2 linked regions of the Caenorhabditis elegans genome follow. The protein of the gene in region 2 interacts with the protein of the main gene of each other region in a pairwise test. Each region holds a gene or a part of one and is shown on either strand. Other genes may lie near its edges. The genes, in order: C39D10.7 and cks-1.

What was found.
Region 1: the proteins of cks-1 (region 2) and C39D10.7 interact in a two-hybrid assay, tested with the Caenorhabditis elegans proteins (2 studies listed by BioGRID).

What each region holds. Positions count from the first base shown.
Region 1 is NC_003284.9:7,907,038-7,916,717, forward strand, and holds C39D10.7 (Chitin-binding type-2 domain-containing protein), read right to left. Parts: upstream 6,894-9,680; coding exon 6,747-6,893; intron 5,739-6,746; coding exon 5,605-5,738; intron 5,550-5,604; coding exon 5,445-5,549; intron 5,392-5,444; coding exon 5,222-5,391; intron 5,177-5,221; coding exon 4,993-5,176; intron 4,922-4,992; coding exon 4,499-4,921; intron 4,322-4,498; coding exon 4,076-4,321; intron 4,030-4,075; coding exon 3,769-4,029; intron 3,128-3,768; coding exon 2,106-3,127; intron 2,052-2,105; coding exon 1,958-2,051; intron 1,854-1,957; coding exon 1,739-1,853; intron 1,694-1,738; coding exon 1,584-1,693; intron 1,538-1,583; coding exon 1,441-1,537; intron 1,393-1,440; coding exon 985-1,392; 3' UTR 929-984; downstream 1-928. Other genes in the region: C39D10.1 (uncharacterized protein), read left to right, coding at 1-82.
Region 2 is NC_003282.8:8,511,288-8,516,253, reverse strand, and holds cks-1 (Cyclin-dependent kinases regulatory subunit), read right to left. Parts: upstream 2,336-4,966; 5' UTR 2,305-2,335; coding exon 2,149-2,304; intron 2,035-2,148; coding exon 1,906-2,034; 3' UTR 1,529-1,905; downstream 1-1,528. Other genes in the region: C09G4.4 (uncharacterized protein), read right to left, coding at 2,488-2,614, 2,667-2,721, 2,777-2,831; Polycomb protein mes-6, read right to left, coding at 2,928-3,081, 3,193-3,552, 3,631-3,711, 3,895-4,079, 4,124-4,297, 4,338-4,568, 4,623-4,817. UniProt on the Caenorhabditis elegans protein: Binds to the catalytic subunit of the cyclin dependent kinases and is essential for their biological function. Has a role in the exit from M phase during early mitotic cell division.

The sequences.
Region 1 (9,680 bases), on a different chromosome or scaffold from region 2:
TCTCGAATCCTGCTCGGCTGATCGAGTCACGGCTGCGTCCGCACCTGCCGATGAAAAGAAGATTTCCTCTAATCAAATCTAAAATATTTCCCATTCGCTTTTCAATTGTTGAAAATTGTTATCAAATACTTGATAACAAAGAATGATCTATTAATAAGAATATTCAGAAAAATATGGAGTGAAAAATACTCAAAAAAAAAGATTGAAATTTCTTTTGCCAATCAATTTGTTTGTGTTCCACAAAATACTTTCCCGCTTCCGTGTTGATATATTCAATTAGACGTTCGGGTAACTGTAAAATCTTAAATATACATTTGAGAAAAATGTTTCAATACTGTTTAGCATTTGTCGTTTAATAGCGATTAACGAAACTCCAAACTTGGAAATCTTAGATGATCTCTCAAAAATGTGGAAATTTTCAGAACCTTAAAAAATATTGTTCACTTTTTTATGCTGATTCATGGCGTCTCAAATCTTTTCTAATGGTTTTTTATCGGCTACTTTTTTGACGTTTCAATTATTTTTTAAAGCTTTTTAAAACCAAAAAATGTAAAATGAAGAAAATTCTGTAACTCATTTTATTTCTGAGCTCATGAAAGTGGAATTTAATTCTAAAAGAATAGAGAACATATATTTTTAGATTAGACTTGTCTCATCAAAAAAATTAAAGTTTTAAAAACCTAGAAAATATGTTTATCTCTGCAGAAAAGGTATAGAAATTATAGAAATATTATAACAATATAGTTCAGTGTCTTTATTGGCGTAATATCAAAATGATTTTTTTAACCTGAGAATTTGAAAATTATGCTATCGTTTTTAGACAAAAAAAATATTTTTTAAGATACACATGTACCGTGTTTTATATTTATACATGGCAGTTTGCTGTCCCAATTTAAATGTTTAATGCTTCAAAACTCTTTTTTTCTAAATATAATAATTCATTGAAAACTCAAAAAAGACGTAAGGCAAAAATAAGTGTATATATTAATATGACTTATACGCAGAACTTGTAGTTGGGGCCACATATGAAGCTGTAGTAGTTGTGGTTGCATCTTGTGCTTCAGTGGTTGTCTCGTACGGTTTGTGAGTAGTGGTGGTTGGAGTCTCTACATCGCGAGAGGGAGTTGTTGCTGGTTCTTCATACTGTGTAGCGGTGGTGGTATATGCAGCTTTGTAGAGAACCTTTCCAGTAGTCGTTGTTTGAGGTTGATACGGGGCTGCAGTCGTGGTTGGAGCTGGCTGCTCAAATCTTTTGGTGGTGTAAGTTGTGTAACTAGATGTGACTTCAGCAACTGGAGGTATGTAATCATTGCCACAGTCCTTATTGGTGCTCTTATAATTACAAGTTTGCGTGTCCCCATTGTACACCAATGGAGCAATACAAGTTCCAGACTGAAAAGCATATATTATTTTTGAATGTATATATTTTAATAAACTCACAAAGGCTCTTCCGTTGTCACAGACAATGTAATGTGGGGAGCACATTTTGAGGTGGTGGAGTCCGTTAGATCTGATCGTGCAGAAATCACTTGGCACTCTGAAAGTAAATGTTTCATCAGAGCAGTAACATGACAAAATCTTACGCTGGAGGTGTTCTGTCTAGAGTGGTTGCAATTGAGCATTCCTTTGCGTCAATTGGGAATACACACTTTTCGGATTCCTTGGAGAATTTGAGACTGTTCGGGCAGCTCATCTAAAAAATTTTGCGAAATACTGAACAACATTAATCGGAACATACCTTACGAATCTGTTCATCAATGCAGGAAAAGTAATATGAGGAGCACCCAGCAGAGTAATAACCATCTGATTTTCCAAAACAAGCATTCGAATCGATTATGTCAGATCCTTTGCCGCTAAAATTATTAAAATGAAAGTTGAAAGTTCTTTAAAAAACTAAGTTCATTAGGTACGATTACATTAATCCACCACATCAAATTCAGTACTCCGATATGCTTACATTTTGCATGTATCCACGGTGTGTTTGTAAGCACACATTCCATTCTTTTCGTTGTAAAAAAGTCCGGGGGCACATGAGGAAATAAGTGAACGACCTGCAATTAATAATTGCTTACTTTCAGATAACTTGTGATTTTGCACAGTCTAACCTTGCATGCATTGAACGTAGTCTTGTGAGCAGTACGGAAGAGCATAGATTCCATCAGGACGTCCGGAGCAGGAGAACGCCTTTGCCAACGGTGTGGTGTCTACTGGTCCTGGAGTTGTGGAGGTGTAATCAATGTTTGGGTAGTTGTAAGTTGTATATTTTGTCGTGCCTGGTTGCTCTGCTGCTGGTGTTGTAGAAGGAGTTGGCTTGTATTCTGGGCAATCTTCGACATGCTCCTTGTAGTCACATCGATTGTTCAATTTGCTGTAAAACAATCCTGCGGGGCAACGATTAATTGTAGTCTCAAAGTTGTTGCACGAGATGTAATAGTCCTCACAATCAAGACCGTAGTTTCCATTTTCGAGTCTTTCACAGAAAGCAGCATGCTGTGGCGATGGAGTGGTCACGGATGGATTGTACGCTTTGGTGGTGCTTTGAGAGTATCCATAGTTTTGATATGAAATGACTGGTTGCTCGGCAGCTGGTGTTGCGTCTGTAGTTGGTTTGTACTCTGGACATCCCTCCACATTTTCCTTCACGTCACATTTATCTTGTAGACGACTGTAGTACAATCCTGACGGGCAAGGGAACTTGAATGTTTTACGATTGTAGCATTTGATCAAGTATTTTTCGCAGTCAAATCCATAGTTTCCATCATCACGTTTTGCACACATTGCAGCGTATTTTGGGGATAGAGTTGTTGTGAAGATTGTTGATGTGTATTGTGGTGCGTACCCTGGAGTAACCGGAGTATATTCAATTGGAGCATATCCTTGGGTGGTACTTGGTTGTTCATATGGTTTGCTGGTAGTTTTAGGGTAGGAGTATGATGGAGTGGTGGTTGGTTGGTACCCTTGACAATCTCGGACATTCGTACTGTAATCACATTCTCCGACATATGGATTGAAGATCAGATTTGCTGGACATGTAGTTGCAACGACTTGTCCGTTTGCGCAAATGTAGAATACGCTCTTGCAGAGACCAGAGGCATGGTTTCCATCAGCGAGGTGTTTGCAGGAAAAGCTGGAAAGTATAATTATAACTGGAACACTTTTGACAAAAATGTTGTAAGCTCTTAGGGGGAATTTTTGTTTGAAATAGATTAAAATGGTTTCCGCTGCTTAACCTAAAACATTAATTGAAAAACCTTTAAAAAAATTTTCCTTGAAATTATACAATATACTTCTTACTTTTAAATTGGATAAAATTCGTAATTGAACAATATCTCAAATTTTTTGCCGCTTTTTTAAATCAGATTTCAGCTATTTGCATAATCTCAGATAGTCTCAAATTATTTGAAAAAAATAAACTAGAACATTAAAAATAACACAGCTGTGTCTTTACACATTAGAAGTTTTCCAACTAAAGGAACGCAATTTTTGTCGGAAACTGTCTGATTGAGAAAATTTCTAAAAACTTTCATTCAGTTTCCAAGATGTTTGTTAAATTTCAAATACCTCCAATAGCATTTTTGTGACAGACACTGTCATTGAAGATATTTTATGAATCTAATTCCTTGAAAAAACTGGAAAAAGTTAGATGTCTATTTCAGGAACTCCCAATTGAGTAAAATTGAGTAAAAATTGAGTAAAAAAAAGCTGCTAAAATTTTTATAGTGATCTAGTCCAAAGAGGGAGTTTTTTCCTTGAAATTAAAAAACTCACTCGTCCAAAGCAATTGTAGTTGTGACTGGAGCCTGAGTAGTGTATGTAGCTTTTGGTTGTTCATATCCAACAGTGGTCGGAGCCTTGGTGTAAATTGGACGTCCGTAAATCGTTGATGGCCGTTCAGTGTCTCTTGGTGGCTGTGTGTACGGCTTTGTTGCTGGTTGTTCAGTGGTTGTGTACACTACGGACGACGAGTATCCAATTGTAGTAGTTGGAGTGTCTTCACCTTTGTAAATTTGAGATGGTTCCATGTAGTTTCTGAAATTTTGATTTTATAACTTTTCAAACAATTTGAGATTGGTACTTTTCACAGTTTTCAGCAAAATCACAGGTGCCAGTAGCTTTGTTAAAGACTAGATCGCCAGGACAGTCATTCGCAAAAGCTCTTCCATCGTGACAAGTGAAGAAGCTTTTGGTGCATGCTTCCTTGATGTACTTTCCGTTTGGTTTTCCGGTACAGTCAAAGTCTACTTTCACTTCAGCTGGTCTCTCGTTATAGGCTCCTCCGTGATTGTAAAGAACAGGTACATCTTCTGGTTTTCGTGGCTCTCTAAATTTTGTTTTTAGATTTGACTTATTTATATCATATTTATGAGAAGATTATTACGAAAGTAAATCAACTTCCGATTCAGATTTTTTCTTGAGTAAACCTTATGACAGGGAAACTGACAAAAACTCCAAACCTATACAGTAACAAATTTCAATTTGAAATGAATATTCAACTTACAGACAAATTGCTGCGAATTCGCAAGCTGACACTCTTGTGTCGAATACAAGATTATCCGCGCATTGAATAACCCGACCAACTCCGTTGTCACAACTCAAAAATGATGCGTGGCACTCTTTGATTCCAAAGATTCCGTCTCTATTTTTGCAATCTCCGTGTACTGCTGGATTGTATCTGACTGTTGAAGAGAAGACAGGTGAAGGTGTAGCTTCAGTTGGAACATATGGGGCAGCAGTTGGATTTTGTGGTGGTGGATTTGGTGGAGCTGCTGATGTCGAGCGTGGGACGTAGGTTGTTCTTGGTGGGGAATAGACTGGCGCGGAAGCTGGAGCATATGGGGTTGGATCCACTGGAGCTTCAGCAATTGACCCATAAGAAGAAGAAGAAGTAGTGGTTTTTGGTGCTCTATACGAAGTTTCGGAGCTGAAATAAATTACCCAAAAGTAAGTTTTGTTAAGTTTTCTTCATTTACACAACAAATTTGATCAACTCACCCGTTATATTCTGGACAATCTTTCACAGACTCTGGAAAGTCACACAGGTTTTGGTCCAAAACGTAGATTAGCTTTTCTGGACAAGTTTTTCTGAACAGCTTTCCATTCGAACACTGCCAGAAATATGGGGAACACTTCACGTTATCAGTGAAATGCATGTCTCCAGTAACTTTACAGTCCAATCCTTAAATAAACATTTTTAATGATAATAATACTAGTAAGGCCGAACCATTGTGCCCATTTTCAAATTCTTTGGTAGTGACGATGTAGTTATCCGAATCATATGTTGGTGAAGCATAGGCAGCAGCTGCTTGATCTTTAACTCCTCCAGAAGCATTACAGTTGGTGTGGTAATCGCATCGCTTGAGAATTGGAACGTATACTTGCTGGTATGGACACCTTCAAATTGATTATGTGTTTTCTTTAATAAGTTTTCTGCACTTGAAACTAACTTTCTCATGTAAGATATTCCATTTGCACACTGATAATAGTTTTCATTACACACAGTCTTGTCCAGTGCATAATCCCCACTAAGTCTGCCCACACAATTTATCGAACTGAAATTTTTCAATTAAAATATTTCAGAAAAAATAATTTTCCAATAAAACTCACACGGCCTTTTGGCGGACATTGAGTGTTACACGATCACCTGTGGCACAGAGATGGTTGCTAGAACGACGCTCACAACGTGCTAATAAGCGGTCAAAATAAAGACCCTCTGGGCATGACTGCTCATATTCAACATTCTGAAAATTATATAAAAAATTTTAATTAAATTCAGATTTATGGTTTAAACATTCCCTTACAATAGTTTTCCATTACTTTGAAGTGGTCTCAAAAGAAATAAGAAAAGAAAATAAATATTTGTTTCATTAAAAAATGGTATCAGCTAGAGATGCGTATGGGTCGTAATGGGTCGACTCGCCTATTTCACAGTTATTCTTTTTTTTCTCACAATGGCTCGCTTTTTGTCGCTTTTTTTTCATTTTCAAAGTATCATGAAAATTTTCGAGCTAAAAAAATTTGGTATTATCTTTAAAATTCGAAAATTTGAATTGCAAATTTTTATGACTGTTCTATTGCAAAATATGTGACGTGAAAGGTACAAATATTGCAAATCGTTATAGTATATTTTTTAAAGATGTAAGTTGAAAAATTTAATGTCTGACTTTGGCATGAAATAGTATTTTTTCGATAAAATAATGAAAATAATGATCCCTCCAAAAAATTTAGCTGCCCCGATCCAGGTTCAGCAAAGTTATGACGTTTTGAAAGTGACTAAAACACCTTTTTACAAAATTTCAAAATTTTCAAAAAAAAAACATTTTTTTCTAAAAAGAGGAAAAAATGTTTGCAAGTTGTTTTAGCTCACAACTCTCAAGAAAACCCACAAACTAATCTACCAGAAAAAGTACTTTTTGGAATTTTGCTCAAGGTATGTGGTTTTTTGTCCGTGGTGAGAAAAAACGTGTATGATATATGCTTTTCACTGTTTTGGATAAGTTAAAACAGTTTTTATCGATTTTCAGAAAACAATTTTTTTTTTTGAAATTTTAAAAGTTTTTTTTTTGGTAGGTCAAGAAATTTTTTCGGCACTTTCAAAACATCATAACTTTGCTAAACCTGGACCGGGGCAGCTAAATTTTTTGGAGGGATCATTATTATCACTCTTTTATCGAAAAAATACTATGTCATGCCAAAGTCAGACATTAAGTTTATCGACTTCCCTTGTAAAGCTCCAAAAGAAAACTCACGTTGACACACTGAAGATACTTTGAGCTGCAACCAACAGCATAAAGCCCGTCACCATCCGGGCATGGTGGTCCTTTCGGGTTCAGAACATTTTTGGCGTCCGCCGAGATGAGGATGACAGCCGCCGCAAATATTGAAAGCTGTCGCATCTAAAAAATAAAAAGAAAATTGCGAGAAGAAAATTTGAAAGAAATGTGAATGATTGTTTATCTGAAACACAATGCTTTTATATTGTCAATCTGTTCTGTCTTGGATGGTGGGCGGATTTTGTTCTGCTCTTATTGATAAAAAGCTAGAAAACCTGTAGATTGGAATTCAGATATTGATCAAAAGCCCAATCCATCAGATATTTATTAATAAATAAAAGAATATCAAGCACTAAAAAAGAAAAATGAATCAACGAAACATTCACATTCTTTTCTTTGCAAGTATAGTGTTCAATCTAGAAAGAATAAGTACCTCGAAAACTGAGATCTTATTTTATTTTCGTTTTTCCTTATGACAATCTCTAAGTTTACCGGGTGACCCGGAATGAACGAATTGACGTATCCAGTCAATAGTAATTACGAGATTATTGACTGTTTACCACAAGAAAACACGACTTGCAAATCGTGCAAAAGTTCGGACAGCCTTGGAAACGGATGATGTTCGATGCGCATGTGTTTTTGTAGAAAAAAAACGGATTAGAAAGATATTTCCGGAAACTATAGTATTTTTCTGGCATTGTCAAAATTAACCTGGTTGTAGAATAATTATATCTTCTTAAAAAGTACCTTATCGACGAAACAACATGAGATTTACAAACGAAATATTCAATAAAGTAGCGAATATAATTATAATTAATTGCTGAACATGTTCTGGGTAAGTTTTTTTTGAATCTCTAATATAACGATTAAAAACTGAATTTAACATAAAATCGTTTGTAGCCAAAAAGAGTAAATGTGAAATAGTAGTAACACAAATAATGTTTCAACCGTAATTTTCCTTCATAGTTTAACATGTTTCACTTAAAATTTTATTTTAACTATTTTTATTTACATTGTTAAATATCGCAACCAGTTAATTATCACGAGTGTTTATTCCAGGTTATTTAATTAGTCACACTAATCAATTTGAAACATACAATTTTAAAATAATCAATCTGCATTATTCAATTCGCATACCCTTCTCGAAACAGTTCTGACGTAGTGACCTCTTCGAGCCTCACCATTGCTCTTCTCGATCCCGCCCACAGTTGATATCTCTTATCATTTGAATCTTCCGGCAGCATTTGTCCTGGAAGAAAAATGTTCATTTCCTGATGGGAAAATTTTCAAGCGAGAACAACTATTGCACAATCTGTGATATTCTAACATTTTCCGCATTGCTGTCAAAAATGATATCACTTATAAGAAGTATGAGTATACATGAAATCATTAATTCCATTCCAGGTGAGATGGAAGTTGAAACAGAATTAGAAATTAAAGAAACGTTATATATTTGGAAATTATTCATAGTCTTGTTACAATTAAAAATTAAAAAAAACTGTCTGTTTTCTAGACTACAATAAAAGAAAATGAGACTTTTTTTCGAAAAATAAAAAAGTTTGAAAATACATTCAATTTGTTAATGTATGAAAACGTATTTGAAACTGCTTTACTAAATTCAATAGGGTATTTATTTCAGCTAAAAATTCAATATATAACCTCAACTAGTGTCAAAAATATGTCTTAAAAAATGTTTCTTAAAAAAAACAACTTCCATCCAGTTTCTCTTCGAATTTTTCAATTCATTTTATAAATTTATTCAACTTTAATTGTTAAGTTTGTAATATAGAATTATACATCTACAGTTATTTTTACTTTAAAACGTTCATTGTCGTGCCGAAATGACAACTCAATATTATTGGATTATCAACCATCTTAGAATATCTTAAATGATATAATATAAGCATATTCTACCAAACATCCAGCGTAATTATCATTCCTGTACGTTTGACCCCTTCCAATTGGTAGAAGACAGGTCACACCATGTGGTATTACTTTCCAGCTGCTGCTGACGTCATGTTTGCTACGTCACGGGCCACGTAAGTAACCCAGGCCGCACAAGAATAAATATACTTGCATCATTTTGCACCAATTGAGAAATTGCTCCGATAATTATATTTGAATTTAAACCCCCGATTTTCTTTTTCAGAAAAGCAACTTTAAAAGCAGAGTAGGCCACAATTACCAAAGTATTAGATTTATAAAATCTAAAAATGTCAAATTTAACAAGATTATATAAAATCACATCAGATTTCAAATCAGTTGATCCCTTTTCTGTTCAAAATTCACTCTTATTCTTGAAATTTTATGAAAGGTCATTTCCTTATAAATTGCGTGCCAATTTTGCGACTACAAGCCGAAAAATGCGTAAATTTTCGAAATTCCTGTTCGCGCAAGACTTCACTTTACCTCGAATATCTTTGTTTCTCATTGACAAATGGATTTCAATGACGTCATGAGGTTGCATAAGTGTACTTTTTCGCATATCCGTTTTAGTCGGTCGGGCAGAGAAGAAAGAGAAAAGCGTATGACTCATCTAGGTTATAGGTATGCAAGTGTTTCACAACATTTAGTTTGCATTATTAACAGTCGATGAAATTTTTAATGAGTTTTTTTGAATAAAACAACTTAATTTTTCTCATTAACCAAATAGTTAGCATTCATTCAAAAAGTCCCCCGTTCAAAAATTTATTCAACGTAAGAGTCAGTTCATTTCAGAAATGTTTGATTAAATAAACTGTTCAAACTATTTCTGCCGTTCTCTGATATTCTAAGGAACAGATAGAACCATGAAAAACGCCGGCATCACAACAGCCAAGCCGGAACAGAGAACAATTTATACTTTGTGTAAACCCAGCTTTTTATCGAAACAAAAAATTCGCCGAGTTTCAAAAAGATTAAAGTTGTTTT
Region 2 (4,966 bases):
GGGCAGCAAAGTGTCTGAAAATATAGAAAAATATGAATTCCCACGAGGAATCGGATGGACTCTTCCTCTTCTTCTTCTTTTTCAGTTTTCAGTGTTTACTCTTCAAAAAATATTATATATGATCCAAAACAAGAATGGATATTCTTTGTGGCCAATTGATGAAAATATTATAATTTGCACACCAACAGATATTTATGTTTAAACATATGTTTTAAAATCACTGAAATCCCAAAATATTCTAAATTTGATGCAGCAACTCGTCTATAGATTTATGTATATCGCTGAAACTTTGAGATTTCGACCATTTAAGCAAATTCAAGGATGGTTGGGATTCCAGAGAATTTTTCAGTGGAGACGTGTATTTTGTATCAAACTTTTTCAAAGTTTAAATAAAGGTATAGCAGATTAAACTTGTTTTTGCTGATTTTCAAATATTAAACTGATTGAAATACCTATTCAGCTAAAAAAAAAGTTCCACAAATTTTTTCAAATTTAATCAATTATTTCCATTTATCTCATATTTCATATTGAGATCATTTGGAGAAATTGAAACTAGTGGCAGACCTCTTAATTGCCAGATTGATTTTTTATAAGTATAAAAATTCAGTTTGAATAATTTTAAATCTAAAAGATCCGCTTGAATTTTCAATTTAAAATTCGGGAAATGACTCTGTCTCGTGGCCCACTTGTGTATGTCACTTCTCTCCCCACACACATTCTTCACAATTATCGTTCGGTTCACTAAATATTCACAAAAACATAGACAAACCAAATAAAATAAAGTGTTTGCCTTTTCCAATGTTTTTTTCGAAAAAAAAAGCTAACAACATTCTGCCAAAATAAATGTTTTTTAAAACGTTCCATTGTTGTAGCCAATAACTTTGAAGAGTTTTCAATCGTGTGTTCGAAATGAATAAAGCAGACTAGGTTCACCTTTTTCCACTTACCGTAATCTTGGAGATCAAAAAGTGAGAAGACATTCTGGTCGTGACAAGACCCACTGATTGTGAGAAATAAACCTCTAAAGAAACATTTCACGATGAATATTTCCATAAAACATGAACAAAAAATTCCAAGCTATACCAAATGAAATAGCATTTGGAACTCAAAATAATTGCGATGCTCGATGGGATTTCCTTTTCAACAAAATTAGCTTTTGGCAGCATGCAAAGTGGATCATTGCATTGTTTTTGGGTTTTTTTGAAGGGTGTCCAAGATTTCTAATGAGCCGACGGAGCCTTCTTTTTAGTTTATGAGTTCTATTTTCATAGAACATTTGAAACATCTAATTGTGTAAATTAAAATTCTAAACAGGAAAAAACACATTTTCAAGGCAAATTTTTTACCATCTAACTTGACGAAAAAATATATCATTCAGAAGTCAGAGAACAAGTTCAATTCCCCTGTGAAGCTTCACCTGTTCGAACAGTCATCCAGCGTCAGGCTTCCCGCAGCGGCTTTACTAGTATCAAATTCAAGAAGACATGCGCAAGTTTATACTGAAACAGCTAAAAATAAAACGAAATTTCCATGCAGGTCAGTGTTTATTTATATATAAAAACACGAATACGTCGTTAAATATATTTGTAAAAAGGACCAAATTGAATATTGGCGAAAATTAAAAAGAGTGGCGAGTGGGGGACCATTTTACAAATATTTCAGATTGATTTAGAGGTGGCTCCCGTTGTCGTCTTATCAAATTGGATTTGAATTGAATTAAAACACGTTAAGAACGAGAAAAAGTGAATGGAGAGCTGATGATGGAAGAGGATAAAAATAATAACATTTTACATATCTTGAACAAGTTTCGTGTGTAAGGAGAACGAAAAGGAAAACGAGAATTTGGAAAAAAGAATGGGAAGGGAGCTAGAGATCCATATATGTGAAATGTGGATTTGAACAGTATTAGCGAACTCCAACAGCATTTCCAGAACGAACATTTCCTCCGGTTTTTTGTGTAGCTGCCAATGGTCTGCGGAAAAGAAGCACGTGACGCTCGGGTCCGTGAATCATGTAGTGCATCCATCCTGGGGACTGAAACAAAAACTTGAAGCTATGAAACGATGAGATAACTTATTCTGATGTCAGTTGAAATTATGTTCGCTTTTTCTTTTTTTCTTAAGGAAAAAACCTATTTTAAATATTTACCTGTTGAATTCCAAGACTTCTCCACTCTGTTTCGGACATCAATCGATTTTTTGGGATAAGCTTGGAAACATCCTTGGTGACATGAACGTGACGGTACTCGAACTCATCATCTTCGTATTTGTTTGAATAGTAGAAATCATTGTTTCCAGTTGTCATTTTGTTGGTTGGCGTGAGAAGGTGCGACTCTGAAATAATTCATTTTATTAACAAGCATCGGGAAATAGAAACGGACAAAAATAAGGAAAGAATAAAAAATATTGAAAAAAAAGAGAAGAATGGGAATGAGACAAGAGTGAGAATGGTGAGGAACACTGCATGTACAGACAAATCGATAAATGCTCATTGCTGACGCTGTCTGAATTGATCGATAACATCAACAGAGTCGAGTTTCCCGCGTGTTTCAAAATACTCGTCCTTTGACATTGGAATTTGACAGTGCTTGGTTGACCCAGCAGAGGAAGATGATCTGAAATAAAAAAGGTAATAACATGAAAGCTAATAAAATTTTCAAAACTCACTGAACATTCAAAAACGTCTTCTTTTTGTCACTTTGTAAGTTGCTGTCGACTGTCACTGAATTAGAAAAATTAGATAATCAGAAAACGAAAATAATCTCTTCGAAACTCACACATAAAGCTATGTTTAGGTGAAGAATAATCCTTAGAGGAGGTTGGGGATGACATTAGGAACTGCAAAATTGTAATGTAAAATCCACTGAAGATGATCGAAGATGAAATCACAACGAGATATAAAAAATTGAAGGTGAGAAGGAATGATATTCAAAATTTTGCCAGGTCCTTAGCGTCGACAGACGCAGATACACGATCAAATCGACAAACAAATCCTTCGTCAGTTACTAGTACTAGGAATCGGCCACATGTAGAGAAAGAAGCTTGCCGAACTGTACGTGAGCCAACGGAACAAGTGTGAGTCCTGTAAAAAAAAAAACAGGAATTTATACTGGTAATCACAGCAAAAATATTTCTATAATTTTTAAGAGATATCGAACATCTCAGAAATTATTTTTCTTGATATTTTACTTACGGATTGGTTTCTTCATTATTTCTCAAATCGAAAAACATCACAGAACCACCAGCTCCACCGCACACCAGCCATCGTCTTCTTGGATCAACGGCGAATTTGATAAACCATGCAGAACCACTCGGAACATTCATTGTACGAAATTTCGTTGTACACGACTTTGGACGGAGAACATTTCCATGAATGCGATTTTCAACTTCTCCCTTAGGTGGCCCAAATCTCCAAAAATGAATTGCCTTTTCATTGCCACATCCTTTTGATAGTGCGTAGTTAGTACCGATAAGAAATCGAATGCAATCCACATAATCAGAATGCATATCAGTTGATACGGAGGATGGAGTATAAATTGGAAGAAGGCAGCTCCTGAAAAAGAAGAAAACGATAGAACCAGATTCGTTGAAACAACTTTAAAAAAGTAATGGATGCCGAAAATCAACGTACGGTCGGGGTATGAGCTCTCTGTGAAGTTCGAGCAATTGATCTTCTTCTTTGTCGGGAATGTTGCGAGAAACTGCAGACTTTCTAAAAATACAAAAATGAATTACATTATGATTTGATAGCCCTGGTCTCTTTATTTACCAGTCTTTTATCCAAAACTCAAGTTTCAAAAATATTTTTATATACAACAACAGCAACAATTTTCGCGTTAAGGACTGATCAAATACTAGAAGGAACTAGAAAATGTTAGCTGAATAATTGATTTACCTCATTGTTCCTTTCGAAACATACGGAATATCTTGTGATTGTGTTAGCACATTTATTTTATCTTGGTGAAGAGCTTTGCACGCTCGTTCCAAATGTTCCTTTACTTGTTTCACAGATAAATCCCACTCCATGAGTTGATGATCGAATCCACACGATAAAATGAAGTCTCCGTCGGTTGACCAATCCTAAAATGAGAAATTCGAAACGTAAGTAAATTTAATAAACCAACCACAGAAAGAATTGTTCCAGCATGACACTCGAGACCCCCAATAACAATCAGACATGCTTCGTTTCGAATATGATGAATCCGGATAGATTGATCTGATGAAGCACAGACAATCAGATTTGAGTTGGCAGGACACGTACGAATGTCATTGATTTCCCATCCAACACTCCGAAGACGCTAAAACTCCAAATTATTTCAGTAATTTTTGATTATTTACATTCGACAGCTTCCTCGAGACGTAGTCGATAACGTAAATGTGACCCAAAGTTCCACCCGTTACAACTTTAAAGGGATTTCGGTCGTTTTCAGCTTCATATGTGTCGTAACACCAGGTAACAGTGAAGAGCGACTCCTCTCGTTCGACCTTTGATGATTTATCGGTAGGAAAATTACAAGACCACTGCAGCTCAATGTTATTTATGTCGATGGGAACAGAATACATGTGAAGCTGAAAAACAAATATTTATACCTCATTGTCAGTTTCCTGCTAAATAACGCTTACAAAGCTTCCTCCGACAGTTGCAACCGCTTGTTCCTCATCTATTCCTGCGTATTGATTGAATGCACATCCGTAAATAGCTTTCTTCTGATCTTCAAGTAGCTTGGCAGTTAGTACAAAAGGTCGTTTTCCGTAATCCTCTGTACTTCGATCAAACCCGTGAAGATTTAATGATTTGAACTTTTTCGTGTGCTCCATTCAGGTTTTTGGGAAAAAGGCAAGAAACAATATATAACAAAATAAAAACTTCACAGTAAAAACATAAAAAAGTCGATTAACTATCAAATTTGCAGTGAAAAAGGAAAAAAATGACAATAAAAACAACAGAAAAACTAAAATATGGCCGC